4 linked regions of the Saccharomyces cerevisiae S288C genome follow. The gene in region 3 interacts genetically with the main gene of each other region. Each region holds a gene or a part of one and is shown on either strand. Other genes may lie near its edges. The genes, in order: AMD1, AIM39, RHO4 and CIT3.

What was found.
Region 1: mutations in RHO4 (region 3) and AMD1 together harm fitness more than expected from each alone (negative genetic interaction), as found in Saccharomyces cerevisiae (2 studies listed by BioGRID).
Region 2: mutations in RHO4 (region 3) and AIM39 together harm fitness more than expected from each alone (negative genetic interaction), as found in Saccharomyces cerevisiae (2 studies listed by BioGRID).
Region 4: mutations in RHO4 (region 3) and CIT3 together harm fitness more than expected from each alone (negative genetic interaction), as found in Saccharomyces cerevisiae (2 studies listed by BioGRID).

What each region holds. Positions count from the first base shown.
Region 1 is NC_001145.3:205,108-211,806, reverse strand, and holds AMD1 (AMP deaminase), read left to right. Parts: upstream 1-2,946; coding exon 2,947-5,379; downstream 5,380-6,699. Other genes in the region: SRC1 (Src1p), read right to left, coding at 1-236, 363-2,282; CGI121 (Cgi121p), read right to left, coding at 5,514-5,603, 5,710-6,165; LFT1 (Lft1p), read left to right, coding at 6,399-6,699. UniProt on the Saccharomyces cerevisiae protein: AMP deaminase plays a critical role in energy metabolism.
Region 2 is NC_001147.6:227,431-232,638, reverse strand, and holds AIM39 (Aim39p), read right to left. Parts: upstream 2,555-5,208; coding exon 1,367-2,554; downstream 1-1,366. Other genes in the region: adenosylmethionine decarboxylase SPE2, read left to right, coding at 1-193; DDR2 (Ddr2p), read left to right, coding at 884-1,069; ubiquitin-protein ligase PSH1, read right to left, coding at 2,805-4,025.
Region 3 is NC_001143.9:546,347-551,472, forward strand, and holds RHO4 (Rho family GTPase RHO4), read left to right. Parts: upstream 1-1,869; coding exon 1,870-2,745; downstream 2,746-5,126. Other genes in the region: DYN1 (dynein heavy chain), read right to left, coding at 1-1,579; TRM2 (tRNA (uracil(54)-C(5))-methyltransferase), read left to right, coding at 3,102-5,021. UniProt on the Saccharomyces cerevisiae protein: Plays an important role in cell growth. Required to keep the uninucleated state. May be involved in the organization of the cytoskeleton which affects microtubule functions.
Region 4 is NC_001148.4:554,621-560,067, forward strand, and holds CIT3 (citrate (Si)-synthase CIT3), read left to right. Parts: upstream 1-1,756; coding exon 1,757-3,217; downstream 3,218-5,447. Other genes in the region: histone acetyltransferase catalytic subunit HAT1, read left to right, coding at 1-1,109; PDH1 (putative 2-methylcitrate dehydratase), read left to right, coding at 3,765-5,315. UniProt on the Saccharomyces cerevisiae protein: Dual specificity mitochondrial citrate and methylcitrate synthase with similar catalytic efficiency with both acetyl-CoA and propionyl-CoA.

The sequences.
Region 1 (6,699 bases), on a different chromosome or scaffold from region 3:
TTACTAATGACTATCAGTAAAAACATTAGCCATATTGGCCTTTGAAATTTTTTATACGTTTGGTAGATTTCTCTTTCAAATCGACACTTCATTCCAATGTATTTCTTGGACGTCGACCGAAAATTCCTCGTCTTGGAGATGAATTTTTCTGGAAGATGTCTCTTCTGTCTCGGAACGTCATTGGTTTTAATGATGTTGTTGGAATTTCCGCCAATGTTGTTGTCAGTGGGTGATAACTAGAGAAAATTAGGAAAAGATGTTAGTAAATAAATCAAAAACAAAAAAAAATTCAAAAAAAATTAAAACTGTTATCATATAATAACAGGTTTAATAATTTTTGTAAGATAATAAATTGTACTCACTTGCCTCCATAATATTTCTGGTTCTTCAGTTAAATCTTTGATAACTTGGATCCACAGGTCCTCAAATTCATCGTCGCGAATCCAAGGAGCTCTAGCCTCATTAAATATTTGATAGAGGGCATCTTCCGTCATACCACTCTCGATGTCGTCTTTTCCGTCACCGCATGAAATTTGTGCATTTTTGGCTCTCAGAAACTCTAAAGATTTTTCAACCACTTCGGAAACTAACTGCTGTTTTTTGTCGTCTTTAACACATTTGCCTTGTGCAGGAATAATTTCCAAAAAGTCAAGTCTAGATGGTGCTAACTTGTAATCTGGCTTACATTTAAGTTTCAAATAAGGATAACAAATACCATTGGGTGGACAAGGGATACATTTCGGTCTGTAGTCCTGCAACAAATTATCCAGTTTTTGAATAAACTCGAAGGAATTGCCACTAACTCGATGGGATGGTACTTCATGCCCACAGTAACCTATGAGCAGTCTTTGCTCTCTATACCAGAGGCCAAATAAGAGAGGAATAACAATGAATATGCAAAATAAAAATAGCGCCAGTAATGATTTGCTCAAAAATTTGAGTGCTCTTTTGAACTTATGCCTGTTCCCGACCTTCCCAGATCCTTGCTTAACATCAAATTCACTCCCATTTTCATGCTCTAATTGCTCATTTACTTCCTCTTGAAGTTCTTGCACTCTTGCTTCACACTTTTCGACGTCTTTCTCTGTGGGTAATTGGGGAGTCTCGATCCTTGTAGGCACTAAAACTTCATCTTCATCCGATACCAAGTTACTACTATCTGTATCTATCATTTCGACCACATTATTGCTGGTATTACCCATAGGCTGATGAGGACCTGGCGTGGTGATCTCTGGAAGCAAGGGTGCTTCCGACTCTGAGCCAGAGCCTTCGGACGAAAACAAAGACGGTGTTCTTTCACTCTGAGAAGGTTCTTGCTGTTCCACTTCTGGAACCAGTATTGTAGATGGTACCTCCTTTTGAGGCAATTTATCCGCAAATGAGGCAGAAACTTTTAACTTACTCAAGGGTGTGCTATGGCCTGTTCCATTGGCAGTTCCGAGCTCTTTTGGATTGTGTCGTATGTTCGGTACAAATGGATCATTTTCCGTACCGCTTGAAGTCAACGAATCGTTAAAATTATCCATGCTTACTGGCTTTCTATTTGTGTTCTTTATTGGTGTTTTGACGGAAAGTTTTCCTAAAATGGCAGAGCCATTTCCATGCTCTTGGTTCAAATCACTCGTCTTACGCTTTTTTGCCTTCTGGTAATCCTGTTCAATTTCTGAATCTGATGATAGGAGGTTCAAATGCTTATTATCGATTTTATTTTCCTTTGAATTAGATTCAGACCAGTCGTCAGAATCAGGGTCTTTCCTTTTCTTACGAGTATCGGAATTTTGCTGGAAATCATTGGTGTCTGATTTGTTGGAGCTTGATGTTATCACATCATCCTCTTCATCGTCCACTTCATCGGTATCCGTTCCACTAGGTACAATTAAAGGATCGTCTTTTTTATCATTGTCATCATCATCATCATCATCATCATCATCATCATTACTTACATCATCCAGTATTCTATTCTTCTTAAACTGTTTGGCCATGGGGGAAGCAGATTTCTCCCTGCGAGCTCGTCTACTTCTACGAGGGGAAGCTATAGATGGGGAAGATGAGGGACGGTCCATTTTCACAATACCTTCATCGCTGGGCCGAACGTTCAGATACATTTTCCGTAACTGCGGGATCTGCGGTTTAACCTTTTCATCGAACAGCCCCACCAGCGCATTTTTCCTAGCATTAGATGGGAAATCGACATTATTTTCTACCAATATCCTCCTCAAAGTCGCAACTTTCATTGAATTCGGATCAAAACCGTCCTCTAAATACTCCAAGTCACTATTCATCGCGGCACTAACTGAGTACTGCTACCGTTCTACTGTTTGTTGTTCTGGCCTCTACGTTCACTCCGTATGGTCTCAGTCTACTATTAATAATGACTGAGGACTATTTCTCTTCCATGTATTCCGCATAGTATATTGACAGCTATACAAGTAGATCGATGTCCAGATTAGCCACCACAAATTGAAACCAAAACAAAAACAAAGGGGGCTTCCTAAAACAGTAATTTTGAGGGCTCTTTAAAACCCTTGATTTCCGTTCAGGGTGATCAATATATATATCCTAGTTATTTTATAGATGCCCTAACTTTATTTTTAGGGCACGTGGGGGTCTTCTCTTTTCTTTTTTCATTCCTTTTTCATCTTTTTTTTGCGCCTGGCGATGATGAGAAAGGAGTTCTAGTAGCACAAGGTTTAAAGGATATTATCAAAAAATAGATAAATTTTAAAAAAAAAAAAAAGGCATCTCTTGACGACTTTTCTTCTCTCTCTCTACAGGCAGAATTAGCAGCGTTTCTCGTATACTAGTCAATTATCGGATATTAATAGTATTTTTATTATAGTCTCCCTGCTATAGCCAATTTTGATTCAGCAAAACTCGATTGAACTGCTAGTACGCCAGATTAATAAATTATATAACAAATAAAAAGGGGGCATTCTAAAAAAAATTATGGACAATCAGGCTACACAGAGGCTTAACGACCTTTCTCTAGAACCAGCTCCTTCACACGATGAACAAGATGGTTCAGGACTAGTCATTGACATAGATCAAAGAAAGATTGGTGATGAACAAGCTGGTGTCGTAGTGGATGATGAGACACCCCCCTTAGAGCAGCAAGATTCACACGAAAGTTTAGCTGCTGATTCTCGGAATGCTAATTTCTCGTATCACGAGAATCAGCAGTTGTTGGAAAATGGCACCAAACAGTTGGCCCTAGATGAGCATGATTCTCACTCTGCCATCTTGGAGCAACCATCGCATTCTACCAATTGTAGCTCTTCCAACATAGCAGCGATGAATAAGGGCCATGACTCGGCAGACCATGCATCTCAAAATTCCGGGGGTAAACCGAGGACCTTGTCTGCTAGTGCTCAGCATATCTTGCCAGAGACGCTCAAGTCATTTGCCGGCGCTCCGGTAGTGAATAAGCAGGTACGTACCTCTGCCTCCTATAAAATGGGAATGTTGGCTGATGATGCTTCACAGCAGTTTCTTGATGATCCCTCTTCCGAGTTGATTGACTTGTATTCCAAAGTGGCAGAGTGTAGAAATTTGAGAGCCAAATATCAGACCATATCTGTGCAAAACGATGATCAAAACCCAAAAAATAAGCCAGGCTGGGTAGTCTATCCACCACCACCTAAACCTTCATACAACTCAGACACTAAGACTGTTGTGCCAGTAACAAACAAGCCGGATGCGGAAGTTTTCGATTTTACGAAATGTGAAATTCCTGGTGAGGATCCAGATTGGGAATTTACCCTCAACGATGACGACTCGTACGTGGTACACAGATCAGGTAAGACGGATGAGTTAATTGCTCAAATCCCTACCCTTCGTGACTACTATCTGGATCTAGAAAAAATGATTTCCATCTCATCAGACGGTCCCGCTAAATCATTTGCTTATAGAAGGCTGCAATACCTAGAAGCACGCTGGAATCTTTACTATCTCTTGAACGAATATCAAGAAACTAGCGTTTCCAAAAGAAACCCACACAGGGATTTTTATAATGTTAGGAAAGTGGACACTCACGTTCACCATTCTGCTTGTATGAACCAAAAGCACTTATTACGTTTCATTAAACACAAATTGAGACATTCCAAAGATGAAAAGGTTATTTTCAGGGACGGGAAACTACTAACTTTAGACGAAGTATTCCGTTCTTTGCATTTGACTGGATATGATTTATCCATCGATACTTTAGATATGCATGCACATAAGGATACATTCCACAGATTCGATAAATTCAACTTAAAATATAACCCTATCGGTGAATCTCGTCTCAGAGAAATTTTTTTGAAGACAAACAACTACATCAAGGGTACCTACTTGGCTGACATTACCAAACAAGTCATATTCGATTTAGAGAATTCAAAATACCAAAACTGTGAGTATAGAATTTCTGTTTATGGCAGGTCTCTCGATGAATGGGATAAACTAGCTAGCTGGGTGATTGACAACAAAGTTATTTCCCATAATGTTCGTTGGTTAGTCCAAATTCCGAGGTTATATGATATTTACAAGAAAACTGGCATTGTTCAAAGCTTCCAGGACATCTGTAAGAATCTGTTTCAGCCACTATTTGAAGTGACCAAAAATCCTCAGTCTCATCCAAAATTGCATGTATTTTTACAGAGAGTAATTGGGTTTGATTCTGTCGATGATGAATCCAAGGTTGATCGCCGCTTTCATAGGAAATATCCCAAGCCATCACTCTGGGAGGCTCCTCAAAACCCTCCTTATTCCTATTACCTGTACTATTTGTATTCAAATGTCGCGTCTTTGAATCAATGGAGGGCTAAGAGAGGGTTTAACACTTTGGTTTTGAGACCACATTGTGGTGAAGCCGGTGACCCCGAGCATCTCGTTTCAGCATATCTATTGGCACATGGTATATCACATGGTATTTTATTGAGGAAAGTTCCATTTGTTCAATACTTATACTATTTAGATCAGGTTGGTATCGCAATGTCACCCCTTTCTAATAACGCATTATTTTTGACCTATGATAAAAACCCATTTCCGAGATACTTTAAAAGAGGTTTGAATGTCTCACTATCCACAGATGATCCTTTACAATTCTCATATACCAGAGAACCATTAATCGAAGAATACTCAGTTGCAGCACAAATTTATAAATTGTCTAATGTAGATATGTGTGAATTGGCAAGAAATTCCGTGTTGCAAAGTGGGTGGGAAGCACAAATCAAAAAACATTGGATAGGGAAAGATTTTGACAAGAGTGGTGTTGAAGGTAACGATGTGGTTAGAACAAATGTTCCTGATATTAGAATTAACTACAGATACGATACATTATCAACTGAACTGGAATTAGTTAATCATTTTGCCAATTTCAAGAGAACCATTGAAGAAAAGTGATGGTTATACGCGCACATGTATATAAGGAGAACTTTTGGCAGTTCGATACACTGACTTCACGGAGAACAAATAATACTAATCTGAAAAATAATCAAAGAATTTTTTTTATAATTTTATCGTTAGATATCTCTTATCTACACACCCCTCAATTGAATAGCGTCTACCAAAGCTCTTGAGAGACCATTTACGTCTTGGGGCTTGAAATCATCACTTAATTTATAGATCTAATAGGTAAAAACAAAATAAAAGGAAAACAAAGGTGAAGTTAGTACAATGTGTTTCTGGTGAGGCTGTTGAAGTTTTTACCTCGAATTTATTATTAAAACATACTTTTCTTATGAGCGCTTCGTCATAAAATCTCGATAAATTGTCATCATTAAACTCGATCTCTTGTCCTTTTACTATAGAAGTCATAATCGTCCTCAATTGCTCTTTGTCTACATCGTCAGTATTAGTATGGAACTTAAGGCATATTAACTGTGACGAATCGTCTTTGATTCCGAATTTGAGGAAAGCATCACTAATATTGGAAGTGGGTGAAAGACATAGTACGCACTCGGAATTCAAATTTCTTGTTCTCATCTTGTTATATTTCACTTCTATTAAGGTCTTGTAAATTGCAGAATACATCTGCTCCCCCGAACAGACTAACCGGGGGTCAATAAAGGCAAAGGATGTCGACAATTCACTCATTTTAGAGCGTATTTCTTTAGCATTTTTAACCTGTTCAAACAATGCTAGTGAAACCTTGATATCAGGAAATTGCGGTATGATGGATACTACCATGATGATTGTATAATGGGCAGCGACGACGTATATTTGGTTATATCGACAAATTTGTTGACCGATAAAAGATTGTTGATGTATATTTTGGTTTGCAATTGAAATTTTCGCGCAAAAGATTAAACATGAAATATTGAAATCAATGGTATTAATGATCAACGAATATTACAGATCATCAATTAAAGAAACAAGCATTGTCAGAATCTAAGCTGGTTATTTTTTGGGAAGGACAAATTATGGACGAAAACAAAATAATCGACCAGTTGTTCAGTAAGGAATACACACCGCAAGATGACTCCGAGCAAGCCAAAAATGGAGATGTGTCGTTATATGGGTTATTAGATGAAGTAGCGAACGGTAGGCGGTTGATGAACTGTTTGTTTCATTCACCTATGCAAATGGGGAATAAATTGAGTACCGACAAACTTGATGGGAAATGTCGGCAAATACAAAGAGATTGGATTGATGAGGAAAAAACCATAACTATGAATTCTGGCGCTTTACAGCTGGATGGGCCAGTTCTATTTTCCTGGAGTC
Region 2 (5,208 bases), on a different chromosome or scaffold from region 3:
TCTACATATTCTGAACGTTTTTCAACCAAGAGAGTTCTCGATGACCTTTTTTACCAAAAATTATCAGAACCAATCCTTCCAAAAACTACTAAGCATCAACGAGTCACTGCCCGACTACATCAAGTTAGACAAAATTGTTTATGATCTGGACGACTACCACCTTTTCTATATGAAATTGCAGAAGAAAATATGAAAAGCCGCCATTTGTGTCTCCTCATACTTACATAGAATAGCCCTCTTCTATTATCCTTCGCTTGCTTTCTAGCACTCATAACTAATGTAGTTTAACCCGCTTGTATATCTTCTACATCATTACCCCGCATGCTTTTTTTTTTCCTCTAGAGAAAACCGGCACAGATTGGCCGGACCCGGAACAGGAAAAATGGCCACTGAAAATTCCTGGCCAGACCACCCCTGAGCTAAGGGAGTTTAGCCGCTCAAGCTTTTATTTCCTCTGATGTAATATATCACACACCCAGACACGGTTGCCAAGGCCTCGACGGAAGGCCGCTTCAAGGGACGGGGCAGTGGCTATCAGAAATACCTTAATATCATCAATATTTTTCATCAATCGCAAGGTGTCAAACATCAATAAAGGATGATGCTCAAAGGTTTATGCCCGATGTTCTTCTAATCCCCTTTCTCTCCTAAAATAATCCTTTTTTTACTCTTCTTCTTTTCCCCTGTTTCCATTTTTGTCTTTTCTCACCCCTTATGGGACATCAATAATGCAAGTATGTTTATACATTTTTATATAAATGTATATATAAATGCCATTTCTTACACATAACCTCCATTCTTTGGTTAATTCTTTCTTCATTCTTTTTTTTTTCATTCTGAAAAGCCCTCCAAGCAAGCACGCTAATTTAATATCGATTTAAACATGAAAGTATCACAAGTTTTCATTTCTGCCATCTCTGTCTTCGGCCTCGCTACTAGCGTAAATGCTCAAAACGCATCCAACACCACGAGTAACGCTGCTCCTGCTTTGCACGCTCAAAATGGTCAACTACTAAACGCCGGAGTCGTCGGTGCTGCTGTTGGTGGTGCTTTGGCCTTTTTGATTTAGGAAAAACGCCGCTTACTGCCACGATGATGATACCCTATTGACGTTTCTGAAATGTATAATTTCTTTTCTCATCTTCCCCTTTGATATTCCATCTATAGGCCCCAGAGTAGTAAATTTGGTGCTTTAATTTTTTTTCTCTTCTTCCAGTTCGTCTCTATTTTTTCATTCCATTATATTTATTTATCAGTTTTACTTTCTCAAATATTCTTATATAACACTATTTCATCTACGTAACCGAAAATAAGTAGTTTAATAACGATAATAATCATAATTGTGATAAAAATATTTACATTTTTCTTACTTGTCGCCCGCTTCGTTTTTGTATAGAACGTACTGTATTAGTTGTCCGTTCTTTTCACGTCTGAAGAGGTCGATTTCTTGCAATTTAACATCAACGTGGTATTTTCCATTATATACAATCAAAGAATCATCGTCCAGTTCGATTTCGCCATGAAACCAAAGGTGTAATGCATGTGAGTCCCCCTGCAGTGGGTATTCGTACTTGAACGACCCGTATACCCTCTCCGGCGATATAATCTCAAATAAATCGGCTGTTTCCAAACCAATGCGGTTCAGTAAATCGTCGATGGTTCCCCGTATACTTATTGGCCGATGCGTTATCCTCCATTTGCAAACAAAGGGTATTCTATACCAAGTGTGCGAACTATCCCTTTTATCGTCTGGCTCCATTACAATACCAGTTACACATGGATCTTGATCTTCGCACCACATGCTGAATTCATTTAACGTGGGTGAATTGCCATCTTTATCAAGCAATGGTACTCCGTATTGTTCCTTGATCATGTCATGACCGGATAATATCTCTAAAACCCTTAATTTAGAAAGCTTCTGTACTTGGTTTACGTCAACCTTTTTCAAATCTCTGGTACTCAGTTTACGTATCTTGGATGATGGAAACAATGGTAAGAAACTTTGTTCCTTTAAATATATCACTCTATAGATTAGTGAGTATCCTAATATCACACCGAATATACCACCAAATATGGCGGACCATATTTGCTTTCGGCGCTTGTTTCGCTGATGTGTTATTGCTTGACCAATGCTTCTCAAGTCCTCTCCTTTTATGTTAGGACTGTGTCCCTCTTCAATTTCCCCCAACTTCGTCTGTTGCTGTTGATGTGGCGTCGTAAAAAAATGCTTGCCATCATGGACATGCCTTTTCGACTCTGTCAATGAATTTCTTTTAGTTGTAATGCTTTTATTCAAGGTATTCAACCTTACATGACAATAGGTAGGCGCCTGGGTAAATAAGCATATACTTCTCGCGGACAGTAGAGATGTGTTAGCATTACGTAGAATCGCAAACCGTATCATTACCCCTTTTTCCTTCTTCTTGCAATTGAATACAGGAAACAGTTGCTTTGTCTTATGTTCGCTGCCACTCTTCTTTGGTTTTAATGCTTTGTTTCTCTCCTGCACTTGAATTTTATTGCTCGGAAAATGCTTCTTGCATAACCCCCACATAATTGGGCTGATTAACGTGACGCTAAAAAAATACCAATAGCAGTCCCAAAAAAAAAAAAAAAAAGATTCACATATGTATTGATTTTACTTTACGAAATTCTTGACCTATTTATATCATAAACGAGTGCTTATATTTCCGATCCTACTATCGCTTAAAAATCTTAATGTAATAAGGATAGAAAGGAAATTTTTTAAAAACATACATAAAAGTTCCGTACATATGCCGTTCCCGCTAGTTAAAATGTTCAGATTATTCATCGTCACTGTCTCCTAGAACTACACGGAAGCGTTTCTGCCTTTTCGGTTGTGGGTCATCTAATTCTTCCGTGTTATCGTCATTGTTATCCTTGACATCGCTGGAGCCGGAATACGAAAGTGAACGATCTTCGGAATCAGAACTCGATTGTATCCGTGTAACCTCCTTCTGATCCTCATCAAGGCTATCACCACTTACAAAACCATCATCATTATGCTCGTAAAAGTCACTATCGCGATCTTCCTCTTCTGTAGCATGTCGCCGTTGCTCCTCTTCCTCATCATCAGTAATAATTACATGTCTGTTCTTGAGTGCAGACAATACCAAATTCCTCCTACTTCCATCTTCATCTTCGTCATCTTCATCATCCTCTATAAAATCTTTCAAATCGGAATCCATCTCCTCTTCTTCTTCCTCATCCTCTTCTTCGTCGTCTTCATCATCCACAGCATCCACAGCAATACTACGATTATGTGACCTGGCCCAACGGCCTAGTGGGATATGTTCTCGCATGGGCTCCTCTTCACTGCTATCATCGTCTTCAGAACTTACATCATCTCTATTAGCAAACGGATTGGTAGACGCAAATCGATTCTCTCTACGCCTACGCATGCTTTCCCGGATTTCATCCAACTCTCCTTCACTGTATTCTTCTTCATCAAATTCGTCGCGACCACCTGCGTAATTCCGTATTCTGGCATTGCAGTGGGGACAAACATTTCCGTCCTCTACTTCGTCTGGGTCTAATTCCCAATGACAATTACTACAACGTGTGATACCATCATCCGAGTCGTCGGCCACTGCCAATGCGCTATTCTTAAATACTTTGTCAAACAATGTGTCCTTTTCCTTGTCATTCTTGTAATCATTTTCCTCCTTGGTTTTAGTTGTTAAAAGTTTTTTAAAAGATTCATCATTCTGGTCCCTTAATTTCTCTAAAATGAATGATAGATACTGTTGCAACGTTGTATTCAATGCGGGAATGGTGGTAATATCAGATCTGCACTGCGGACAAGCCAATTCTTTTTGAGTATTGCTGGCAAACCAGGTGTTCAGACAACCATAGCAATAATTATGACCACAAGGTGTCATCATCGGTACAAACATATAATCGTGGCAGATGGAGCAAACTAACGATTCTATTATCTTATAAAGTATGGCGTCCTTGGTGCCATCGTTTTGGTGAAGTAAACGGTTGTGTAATTCGTCGCCCATTATTCTTATCAATATATTAAAACTTTCTGTCTGAGAAAAAACGCGATCGTTCGTTTTCTGAAAACTTAATGCTTAAAATAGAATATTATCAAATTCCTCATCGCAGTTGTATGCTAGAAGAGAGCTCATCTAAATTGTAGTGGACATAGGATAAAAAACGCCATTGTGTGAAATGGCCCGAAAAAAAAGTATTGGGTATTCAAAAATAACGACCCCAGTGAGGGTTGAACTCACGATCTTGCGATTAACAGTCGCACGCCTTAACCAACTTGGCCATGGAGTCTAATATTTTATGAAAGATCTAAATTTTAGAAACTTAATGATGCACAGTTCTCAATGCACAAGATTGTGAGAAATGGGAGAATTTTGAGACAATTGTTGAGATTCCATTATTAATAAAGGTTTAATATTAGGTATATAGAACATGTTAGAGGTGTTGGAATGAAACTTTAAAATATCATCTTTTTAGTAGTATTCGTGTTACTAGTATATTATCACATGCAGTGTAAGAAGATAACATAAAGATTGGGAAACAGTTAGATTGATTGAAGCGAAATGCAAGGACTAATAATGTAATAGGATAATGAAATGTATAAAACGGAATTGGGAATATTCGTAATATTAGTATGTAGAAATATAGATTCCTTTTTGAGGATTCCTATATCCTCGAGGAAAATTTCTATTATAATCTGTATACATAATATTATAGCCTTCACCAACAATGGAATGACAACAATTATCAAATTATTCACCCAGTATTCAAGAGGTTTTCCACAAGGATATAGGAATCCATAAAAAGGCATCAGTATTATTATTACCATTTCTTATTCATTTACACGCCGTTATTCACTATTATTGAATAATCAATCATTGCATTTTTCAGCTTCCATTACATCTGATGCTATTTCTTAACCTTTATGGTTGCCTCTTATTCAACAAAATTAAAAGGATGAGGATAGAGAGTTAACTGGTTTTAATTTTTGTAGATGTAATGTATCCTCTTACAATTTACATTTGTTAACTCTAGGACATTATTAGGCTAATAAAATCATAACAAAAAGAAAAAAAAAACAAACGAAACAAAGTATTTTTTGTATGCCATGAACCATCTGCATTAATTACTTTAAAGCCAATAAGGACACTAATTAAACGAAAAAATAGGTATACTACTAAGAGATAGGTG
Region 3 (5,126 bases):
CTAGATAACTTAATTTTTCGGTTGGACAGTGATCAGAGTCCATAAAACTTGCCAACGTATTTTGTAACTTCTTTTCCAAATCGAGCATGTTTTTACTGAATTCACTTTCGGCTTGCTCCAATTTCAATCGAAAATTCACGGAAATATCATGGATCTGCTCAAATGGATGATACAATCTCTGTATTTCTTCGTGATAAGTAGAAGGGGATATACTCTTAATGGTTTCTGCCAATGAAAAAAATCGCTTGCGTGTGCTTAAAATTTCATCCAAAGTAGCCTTTACGGATGCACTTGTAAATGTTAGCTTTTGTATAAGTAGCTCCTGTGGTGCTCTTTTCCTAAGATCCTCTCTTATTAAAAGATTGACATCCTGGACAATATCATCCCATTCTTCTATCATGCCTGCTGATTTTTCATATAAACCCAAAAAAGAACCATACTCTAGCTGAAATAAATCTGAAAGATTACTTAGAATTGCATCCATGACTTCTTGTGAAATTTTGTCCATCAGCACAACAAATCTTTGAACTGGATAACCTGAATATCTGAACTTCTTCAAAGAAGATGCTAAAACAGGAAATAGTTCCTGCAAGTCCTCAAGATTGCTTGCCTGGCGAACCTCATCGATAGGGATTGACGATAGAAATTGGTTATATTTATCCGCTAGCTTAAATTTATCTGAAAGTGAACCTTCATTCAATAAATTTGTTAAATTATGAAATCTCTTTGCGTTTGTTAGAACGGATAGACACACCTGAAATTCTTGGCTTTGTGTTTGTTCAATTAACGACTTCAGTACTTCGTAGAAATTCGACCAAAACTCAACTTCGTCTAAAAAAGAACCATTTTTTATATCTCTGTCAATGGCTAATGTTTGTTTAAGAACCAAAAACCATTTGTTTGCAATGCTTTGTAAAATGTTCAAAAATCTCATACTTTCCAAATCATTACTAGGAAGGTAGTTTGCATAATCATGTGAAGTAGCCCCTTTTGATACAGCCAATTTGATAATGCTAGGGACCATCGCTAAAAGATCTGGCGTTTCAATTGAGGTATGTAACTGTTGAAATTGTTTAGAAATGTCGTCAAGTTTCCTCCTCGTTTTATCTATAGTTTCGACAGAATATGTCTTTGTATCTGATTTTATCAATTGGCCAAACACAGACGATACGCCATGTGTGATAATTGAGGCCAGGTTCCCCGCATTTACTGGACCAGGTAAGTATATGGCACTTATTTGTGTTGCAATCGGTTCTGCATCCACAATAACACTTCTAGATTTAATAATTAATAGAGTAGAATACTTTTTATTCGCCAAGTTGGCATCATATATAGCCTCTTCACCAATGTCTATTGTAACTATTGTTCTATCCAGCTCTTCAAAAAGGAAGACAAACAACGTGTCGAACTCTCTCCCATCCAATAATCCCAAAAAAAATTGAAACCGTTCAAGGTATTGACAATGTAGATAATCAATGAATGCTTGCTCATTCTCTTTGGGAGAATTCTTTATACCCGTTACAGTAGCTGCAACAAATTCTATCAGCTCATTAGCAAGTCTTGCCTCATTCTTGCACATTGCCTAAAAAACGTTTTGACGTACTTTCCAATTTAAGCTCTGAACGAGTATTATTGCCCTTCTATGTTCTATGCTTTCTGTTAATTTTTATATGTAATGTTTGTTTACCTTTCATTAGCTTATTTATTAGAATCCGTACAATGCGACCTTCCGCGCATCAATTCGGGATGATCTGATTAAGTAGTTATAGCCTTACGTTAAGACGACAAAAGACATGATAAGCATCCCTCAAAAGTTACAGCAAACTTAAGTCAAATAGGTCCAAAAATCTCCAATAGTAACGCTTTTTCATGAATACACTATTATTTAAGCGAAAAGGTGGCAATTGTGGGAACGAAAGTAACATAGTTTCGCAGGGATCGCCCTCAAGTAGCAATCTTCCTGAATCACCTGGCACTTTAGATGAAAAGAATCTTCCCAGATTGCCTACTCCATTCGCTAGAAGCCTTTCTACCATTCCTAGTTATGAGCAGATGAAACGTACAAACAAACTGCCAGATTATCACCTAAAGATTGTTGTTGTGGGAGATGGCGCTGTAGGGAAGACGTGCCTGCTGATATCTTATGTCCAAGGAACATTTCCGACTGATTATATTCCTACTATTTTCGAAAATTATGTCACAAACATAGAAGGACCCAACGGTCAAATTATAGAATTGGCATTATGGGACACTGCCGGCCAAGAAGAGTATAGTAGACTTAGACCGCTTTCATATACGAATGCAGATGTGCTGATGGTGTGCTATTCTGTTGGTAGTAAGACATCGCTTAAAAATGTGGAAGATCTCTGGTTCCCAGAGGTTAAGCATTTTTGTCCTTCCACTCCAATCATGCTAGTCGGCCTTAAATCAGATCTATATGAAGCTGATAACCTTTCAGATCTGGTGGAACCAAGTTCAGCAGAATCCTTGGCCAAGCGTCTGGGGGCATTTGCACATATTCAATGCTCAGCACGATTGAAAGAAAATATCGATGAAGTATTTGAAACTGCCATACACACGTTACTTTCCGATTCATTATATGCTCCCAGAGAGCCTACACATACAATCAAAAATCCCTTTAAAAGAAATACCACCAGATCAGATATCGATTCTTCTACTGGAGATACCAGCGTCTCTATTTCCGGAACGAAAAGATTAAGAAAAAACAAGTGTATTATAATGTAAGAATAATGATGAAGATTATTCTGTTGCCCATTCTGTACGCACTTACAACATTTGAAAAGTGGCAAGAAAAAATACACACATTTTACTATCTTCCGCTATCTTATTTATCAAGACGAAACAATTAGAACCTGATTTAATTTAACTTCCATTTTTCTGAATCTGGTGTGATATACCGCTCCAATATATTCGAATTTATCCCAATTTTATCATAATAATTCATTTTAATTCGATGTCATAAAGTACTAATTCGATATTAATCTAGCCTAATTACATTAAATACTTAATAAAAGCTTCTGTGACATAAAAGTACAAATCTGTCATTTTATTTTAGAGGAATAGTTTAGGACAAAGTCATTATGTACGAACAGTTTGAATTTTCTTTTTTTTTCTTCGAAAATTCAGACAATAAGGTTAAATATAAAGCTCATCTCATCTCATCGATAAAACGCTGGAGTATTATCACATGCATGCGTTGCTTTTGGACCGTACAGAAGTCTATATTTAAAGCTAGGTTTTTCGCTTGCAGAAACTTTGTCAAGAAGCATAATTATAAACTAATCAGCACCATGACTGGAAGTACTGAAATGGTACCACCAACAATGAAACATACCGTTGACAACAAAAGGCTTTCGTCTCCTTTGACAGATTCTGGTAACCGCCGGACTAAGAAGCCAAAGTTGAGAAAGTACAAGGCCAAAAAGGTTGAAACAACTTCTCCGATGGGTGTCCTAGAATTTGAAGTGAACGATTTGTTAAAATCTCAAAATTTGTCCAGGGAGCAGGTTCTGAACGATGTTACTTCAATTCTAAATGATAAGTCCTCAACAGATGGACCTATCGTCTTACAATATCACCGAGAGGTAAAAAATGTCAAGGTCTTAGAAATTACTTCCAATGGCAACGGGTTGGCTTTGATCGATAATCCTGTTGAAACAGAAAAGAAGCAAGTTGTTATCATACCGTTTGGCCTGCCCGGTGATGTAGTTAATATCAAAGTCTTTAAGACCCACCCTTACTATGTCGAGAGTGATTTATTAGACGTAGTGGAAAAATCTCCAATGAGAAGAGATGATTTAATTAGGGATAAATATTTCGGGAAATCTTCAGGAAGTCAATTAGAGTTCTTAACTTACGATGACCAACTAGAATTGAAAAGAAAAACAATTATGAATGCCTACAAGTTCTTCGCACCAAGGTTAGTTGCTGAAAAACTTTTACCCCCATTTGACACCACCGTAGCTTCCCCTTTACAATTTGGCTACAGGACCAAAATTACGCCTCATTTCGATATGCCAAAAAGAAAACAAAAGGAACTATCAGTAAGGCCTCCTTTAGGATTTGGTCAAAAGGGTAGACCTCAATGGAGAAAAGATACTTTGGATATCGGCGGACATGGTTCGATATTAGATATCGATGAATGTGTGCTTGCAACTGAAGTTCTCAACAAAGGATTGACTAATGAAAGAAGAAAGTTTGAGCAAGAGTTTAAAAACTACAAAAAAGGCGCGACTATTTTACTGAGAGAGAATACCACTATTTTAGACCCTTCCAAACCAACTTTAGAACAGTTAACCGAAGAAGCCTCTAGGGATGAAAATGGTGATATAAGTTATGTCGAAGTCGAAGACAAAAAGAACAATGTCAGGCTGGCTAAAACTTGCGTTACCAATCCTAGACAAATTGTCACTGAATATGTTGATGGATATACTTTTAATTTTAGTGCGGGTGAGTTTTTTCAAAATAATAACTCTATCCTGCCAATAGTGACCAAGTATGTCCGTGATAACTTGCAAGCTCCCGCTAAAGGTGATGATAATAAAACAAAGTTTCTAGTAGATGCTTATTGTGGATCAGGTCTTTTCAGTATATGCAGCTCCAAGGGCGTAGATAAAGTGATTGGTGTAGAAATTTCCGCTGACAGTGTCTCTTTTGCAGAAAAAAATGCAAAGGCAAATGGTGTTGAAAACTGTAGATTCATCGTTGGAAAGGCTGAGAAACTCTTTGAGTCTATTGATACTCCAAGTGAAAACACTTCCGTTATCTTGGATCCACCACGCAAGGGCTGTGACGAATTATTCCTAAAGCAATTAGCCGCATATAATCCAGCCAAGATTATTTACATATCGTGTAATGTCCATTCCCAGGCACGTGATGTCGAGTACTTCCTCAAAGAAACAGAAAACGGTTCCGCCCACCAGATTGAAAGCATAAGAGGATTTGATTTCTTTCCACAAACGCACCACGTTGAGAGTGTGTGTATAATGAAGAGAATCTAATTGCACATATAAAATATCTATCACTATGTATATCTTTCTAGAGTAAATGTCTTCCTGTACTTTTAAATCCGTACATTTTGAAAATTGAAAATGTATCTCAGATTC
Region 4 (5,447 bases), on a different chromosome or scaffold from region 3:
TCAAGCCTGAAACGTGGACTTCAAGCGCCAACGAAGCCTTAAGAGTTTCTATAGTTGGAGAAAACGCTGTTCAGTTTTCACCATTATTCACGTATCCAATTTACGGTGACTCCGAAAAGATCTACGGCTATAAGGATCTCATCATCCACCTAGCATTTGATTCAGTAACATTCAAGCCGTATGTTAACGTCAAGTATTCAGCAAAATTAGGAGACGACAATATTGTAGACGTGGAAAAAAAATTACTCTCATTTCTACCAAAGGATGATGTAATTGTTAGGGATGAAGCTAAATGGGTAGATTGCTTTGCAGAAGAACGAAAAACACATAATTTATCTGATGTTTTTGAAAAAGTATCAGAGTATTCGTTGAATGGGGAAGAATTTGTTGTATATAAATCGAGTTTGGTTGACGATTTTGCCAGGAGAATGCATCGTCGTGTTCAAATCTTTTCATTACTTTTTATCGAAGCCGCTAACTATATAGATGAGACTGACCCGAGTTGGCAAATCTATTGGTTGTTGAACAAGAAAACAAAAGAATTGATTGGTTTCGTCACTACTTACAAGTATTGGCACTACCTTGGAGCAAAATCTTTCGATGAGGATATAGATAAAAAATTCAGAGCCAAAATATCTCAATTTCTGATCTTTCCACCTTATCAAAATAAAGGCCACGGATCCTGTCTTTATGAGGCTATAATCCAATCTTGGCTAGAAGACAAAAGTATTACTGAAATTACTGTAGAGGATCCAAACGAAGCATTTGACGATCTTCGCGACAGGAATGATATTCAAAGACTGCGAAAACTTGGTTATGATGCTGTCTTTCAGAAGCACTCCGACCTTTCTGATGAGTTTTTGGAGTCAAGCCGAAAATCTTTAAAACTGGAAGAAAGACAGTTTAATCGTCTTGTGGAAATGCTTCTTCTTTTAAACAATTCTCCATCATTTGAATTAAAGGTAAAGAATAGGTTGTACATTAAAAATTATGATGCCCTAGATCAAACTGATCCAGAAAAGGCAAGAGAAGCTTTACAAAATTCATTTATTTTAGTCAAAGATGATTATAGGCGTATTATAGAGTCGATAAATAAATCTCAAGGTTAACTGTTTATTAAATATATAATAACATATTTATTTGTTTAACAAGCCTGAAATAAGAAATTCTTTTATAAATACATCATCGAGATGATCATCAAAGTGTCTCTATAGTTAATATAAGCTTATGCAAAGGTTGAAGCCGTTATGTTGTCGTAATTCTAAATTACAGGTTATATTAAAGAGATTATCTTGACTGATATAAAATTTCTTATCATGGTAGTGATCACAAATAGATCACATGATATATTTTTTATTTTTAATTTTTTTTAATTATAAAAATAATTTTTTTCTTTAAATTAAACAAAAATAAAAAATTGTTTTTTGTTGGTTAAGATTTCCGAAAATAGAAATATTATTCAGTTGAAAGACAAAAAAACATAAATATTTCTATGAGCAAACAATTTGAACAGAAAAATAAAATTGGGGAAGTGACACACCATGGTAGCGGTTCTAAAGCGAAATCGGCAAAGCGGCTAAATAGCAGTTTTGATGACTTACTCCACACTGAAAATGGATGACCTTAAATAGGAGATAAAGCTTTTTCATCCCTATGTATTTAAGATGACTGGCTTGTCAAGCATTCTAATCATAAAAAAAAGATCGTATTTGATCAAGAATTTATACATAGACGCCGCTAAATAATTGAATACAAAATGGTACAAAGGCTTCTACCGGGCGCACATATATGCAGAAGGTCCTTCAATTCGTCTGCAATTATAAAGTCTTCTGCATTGACTCTCAAGGAAGCATTAGAAAACGTGATACCTAAGAAAAGAGATGCTGTGAAGAAATTGAAGGCCTGTTATGGCAGCACGTTTGTCGGACCGATTACCATTTCATCAGTTCTAGGTGGGATGAGAGGTAATCAGTCAATGTTTTGGCAAGGAACATCATTAGATCCCGAACATGGCATTAAATTTCAAGGTTTAACGATTGAAGAATGTCAAAATAGATTACCTAATACAGGTATTGATGGCGATAATTTCCTGCCAGAATCAATGTTATGGCTGTTGATGACAGGTGGTGTGCCAACTTTCCAGCAAGCTGCTTCTTTCAGGAAAGAATTGGCTATTCGTGGAAGGAAATTGCCACATTATACAGAGAAAGTTTTGTCAAGTTTACCCAAAGATATGCACCCTATGACCCAACTTGCAATTGGTTTAGCATCAATGAACAAAGGATCCCTCTTTGCTACAAACTACCAAAAGGGCCTCATAGGAAAGATGGAATTTTGGAAAGATACTCTTGAAGATTCGCTAAATTTAATTGCTTCACTCCCGCTGCTGACTGGGAGAATTTATTCGAACATTACAAATGAGGGACACCCATTAGGTCAATATAGTGAGGAGGTGGATTGGTGTACAAACATATGTTCCCTGCTCGGCATGACAAATGGAACGAACTCTTCTAATACATGCAACCTTACTTCCCAGCAATCCCTGGACTTCATAAACTTGATGCGGTTATATACCGGTATACATGTAGACCATGAAGGTGGTAATGTTTCTGCTCACACCACCCACTTGGTTGGAAGTGCGTTGAGTGACCCGTATCTCAGCTATTCATCTGGAATAATGGGATTAGCGGGTCCTTTGCATGGGTTAGCAGCACAAGAAGTAGTAAGGTTTCTCATAGAGATGAACTCTAATATTTCCAGCATTGCACGAGAACAAGAAATCAAAGATTATCTTTGGAAAATTTTGAATTCAAACCGTGTGATCCCCGGTTATGGGCACGCAGTTTTGCGTAAACCGGATCCTCGATTTACAGCAATGCTTGAATTTGCGCAAAAGAGGCCTATTGAATTTGAGAACGACAAGAACGTTTTGTTGATGCAAAAATTGGCAGAAATAGCGCCTAAGGTTTTGTTGGAACACGGAAAGAGTAAGAATCCATTTCCCAATGTTGACTCTGCATCGGGGATTTTGTTTTATCATTATGGAATCAGGGAATTATTATTCTTTACCGTCATTTTTGGGTGTTCAAGGGCCATGGGACCCTTGACACAACTTGTTTGGGATCGCATTCTAGGTTTACCAATTGAAAGGCCCAAGAGTTTGAACTTGGAGGGTCTGGAAGCACTTACCAAAGCAAGCAATGTTAACAAGTTGTAACGCAGTTCCAATTTACAAGAATGCTTCGTTTGCTATTACAATATTGAAATATAAATAAAATTCCATACAGCATGTCTAATCATAGCTAATTTATACATATTCATCATGAAAACATATAGGGGAAAATATGGTCGGTTAACACACCTATCAAAAAATTATTCAGCAATTCCAATCTCGTTAGTAAAATATATTCTTATTTTTTTTTTTTTTCTCTGATTGTATTATTTCTGGAGTTTTGACTTATTTTTTTACCACATCGCGCTTTTCGTCCCCAATCTCTCTGATATATGATGCTGTCTATAGGTAGCCACTTCCCCGATGTCGGACCTCGGGCCGTTTACAAACTTTATTGAGATGACCTTATTTCTCCACATTCTAGTCATTCAACTTTTACCCTCATATGTTTACCTTCACTAATGTGAAAGCATGACCAAAGAAAGTGTATAAGGTATATAAATCTGCCATAATGTATGTATAACTTATTAGGACTTTCTCAAATAGTATTTTGGTATTTTCTACTGTTCTCTGATGATCGAGAGCAAACAGAATGTTTTTAGCCAAAAATCTAAAAAATAATAAAATCAAGGTATGCTTGCCTAAAAAGAAATTTGCTGCGCTGAGTACAGCGTCTATACAAACTAATGAAAGACCAAATCCAGATAAGGTTTTGAAGGACATCGCGAAATATGTCCATGAAACCCCATTAAAATCATCTTTGGCTCTAGATACAGCACGACTCTGTTTCCTTGATACTCTAGGCTGTGGCTTGGCGGCTTTGAAATTTAAGCAGGCTCAAAATATTATTAAACCAATTGTGCCAGGAACAATAGTTCCCAGTGGAACAAAAATATTGGGCACATCTTACGTTATGGATCCAGTGAAGGGAGCTTTTGCCATTGGTACTCTAATACGTTGGTTAGATTACAATGACTGCTGGTTAGCTGCCGAGTGGGGGCACCCATCAGATAACCTTGGGGGAATTTTAGCTGTCGCGGATCACTTGTCCAGATTAAACAAGGCTACCCACGGAAAGAATGGAAAACAGTTTCTTGTTAAAGACGTATTAGAGGCAATGATTAAAGCGCATGAAATCCAAGGTATTATAGCGCTCGAAAATTCTTTCAATAAAGTAGGTTTAGATCATGTGGTACTCGTGAAAGTAGCAACGGCTGGTGTTGTCTCGAAGATGCTGGGCCTGAGCCAGGAACAAACTATTGAAGCATTGTCACAAGCATTTGTAGACGGTCAATCACTGCGTACTTACCGTCATGCCCCAAATACTGGATCTAGAAAGTCGTGGGCGGCGGGAGATGCAGTTTCGAGGGCTGTAAACTTGGCTTATTTAGTCAAAAATGCTAATGTTGGCACGATACCTTCAGTATTAACAGCTAGAACCTGGGGATTTTATGACGTTTTATTTAAGGGTAAACCTTTTTCATTCCAACAAAGATCAAAATATGATTCCTACGTCATGGAAAACGTTCTGTTCAAGATATCATTTCCTGCCGAATTCCATGCGCAAACTGCTGTAGAAGCTGCTGTAAAAGCATATAGGATTCTTGCCAAACAAGGGAAAACTTTTAAAGATATTAAATCGATCAGAATTAGAACTCAAGAGGCGGCAATGAGGATTATAGATAAATCCGGTCCTCTGTATAATTATGCCGATAGGGATCATTGTATCCAGTACATGATCGCGGTTCCGCTGATTACTGGTAATCTCACAGCTACTGATTATTCGGATGAGGTCGCAAGAAATCCTGAGATCGATAACTTGAGATCGAAAATGTACTGTATCGAAGATACTCATCTCACTCAAAACTATCACGATCCTGATAAAAGGTCGATAGGAAACGCTCTTCTCATAGAGCTGAACGATGGGACGCAGTTGGATGAAATTTTTGTAGAGTACCCTGTTGGTCACAAATTTAGACGAGAGGAAGGAATACCATTACTAATGAATAAATTTCAAAGGCATCTGCGCGAACATTTTGTAGAGAGCCCTGATAAAGTCGACCTTATAATGAAGGTAAGTTCAAAAACAAACTTTTTGAATATGCAAATCGACAAATACATGGATTTGTTTACTGAGGGATGAATGGTTGGCTCTTTAAGAGCGAACGGCATGGTACCTACTTCAATTTTTAAAGACAAAAGGCGCCGTTTCGATAAACAAGAAATCACTTTCAAAACATAATTAAACCAAAGAACATGCGGTTTTCTAATTATG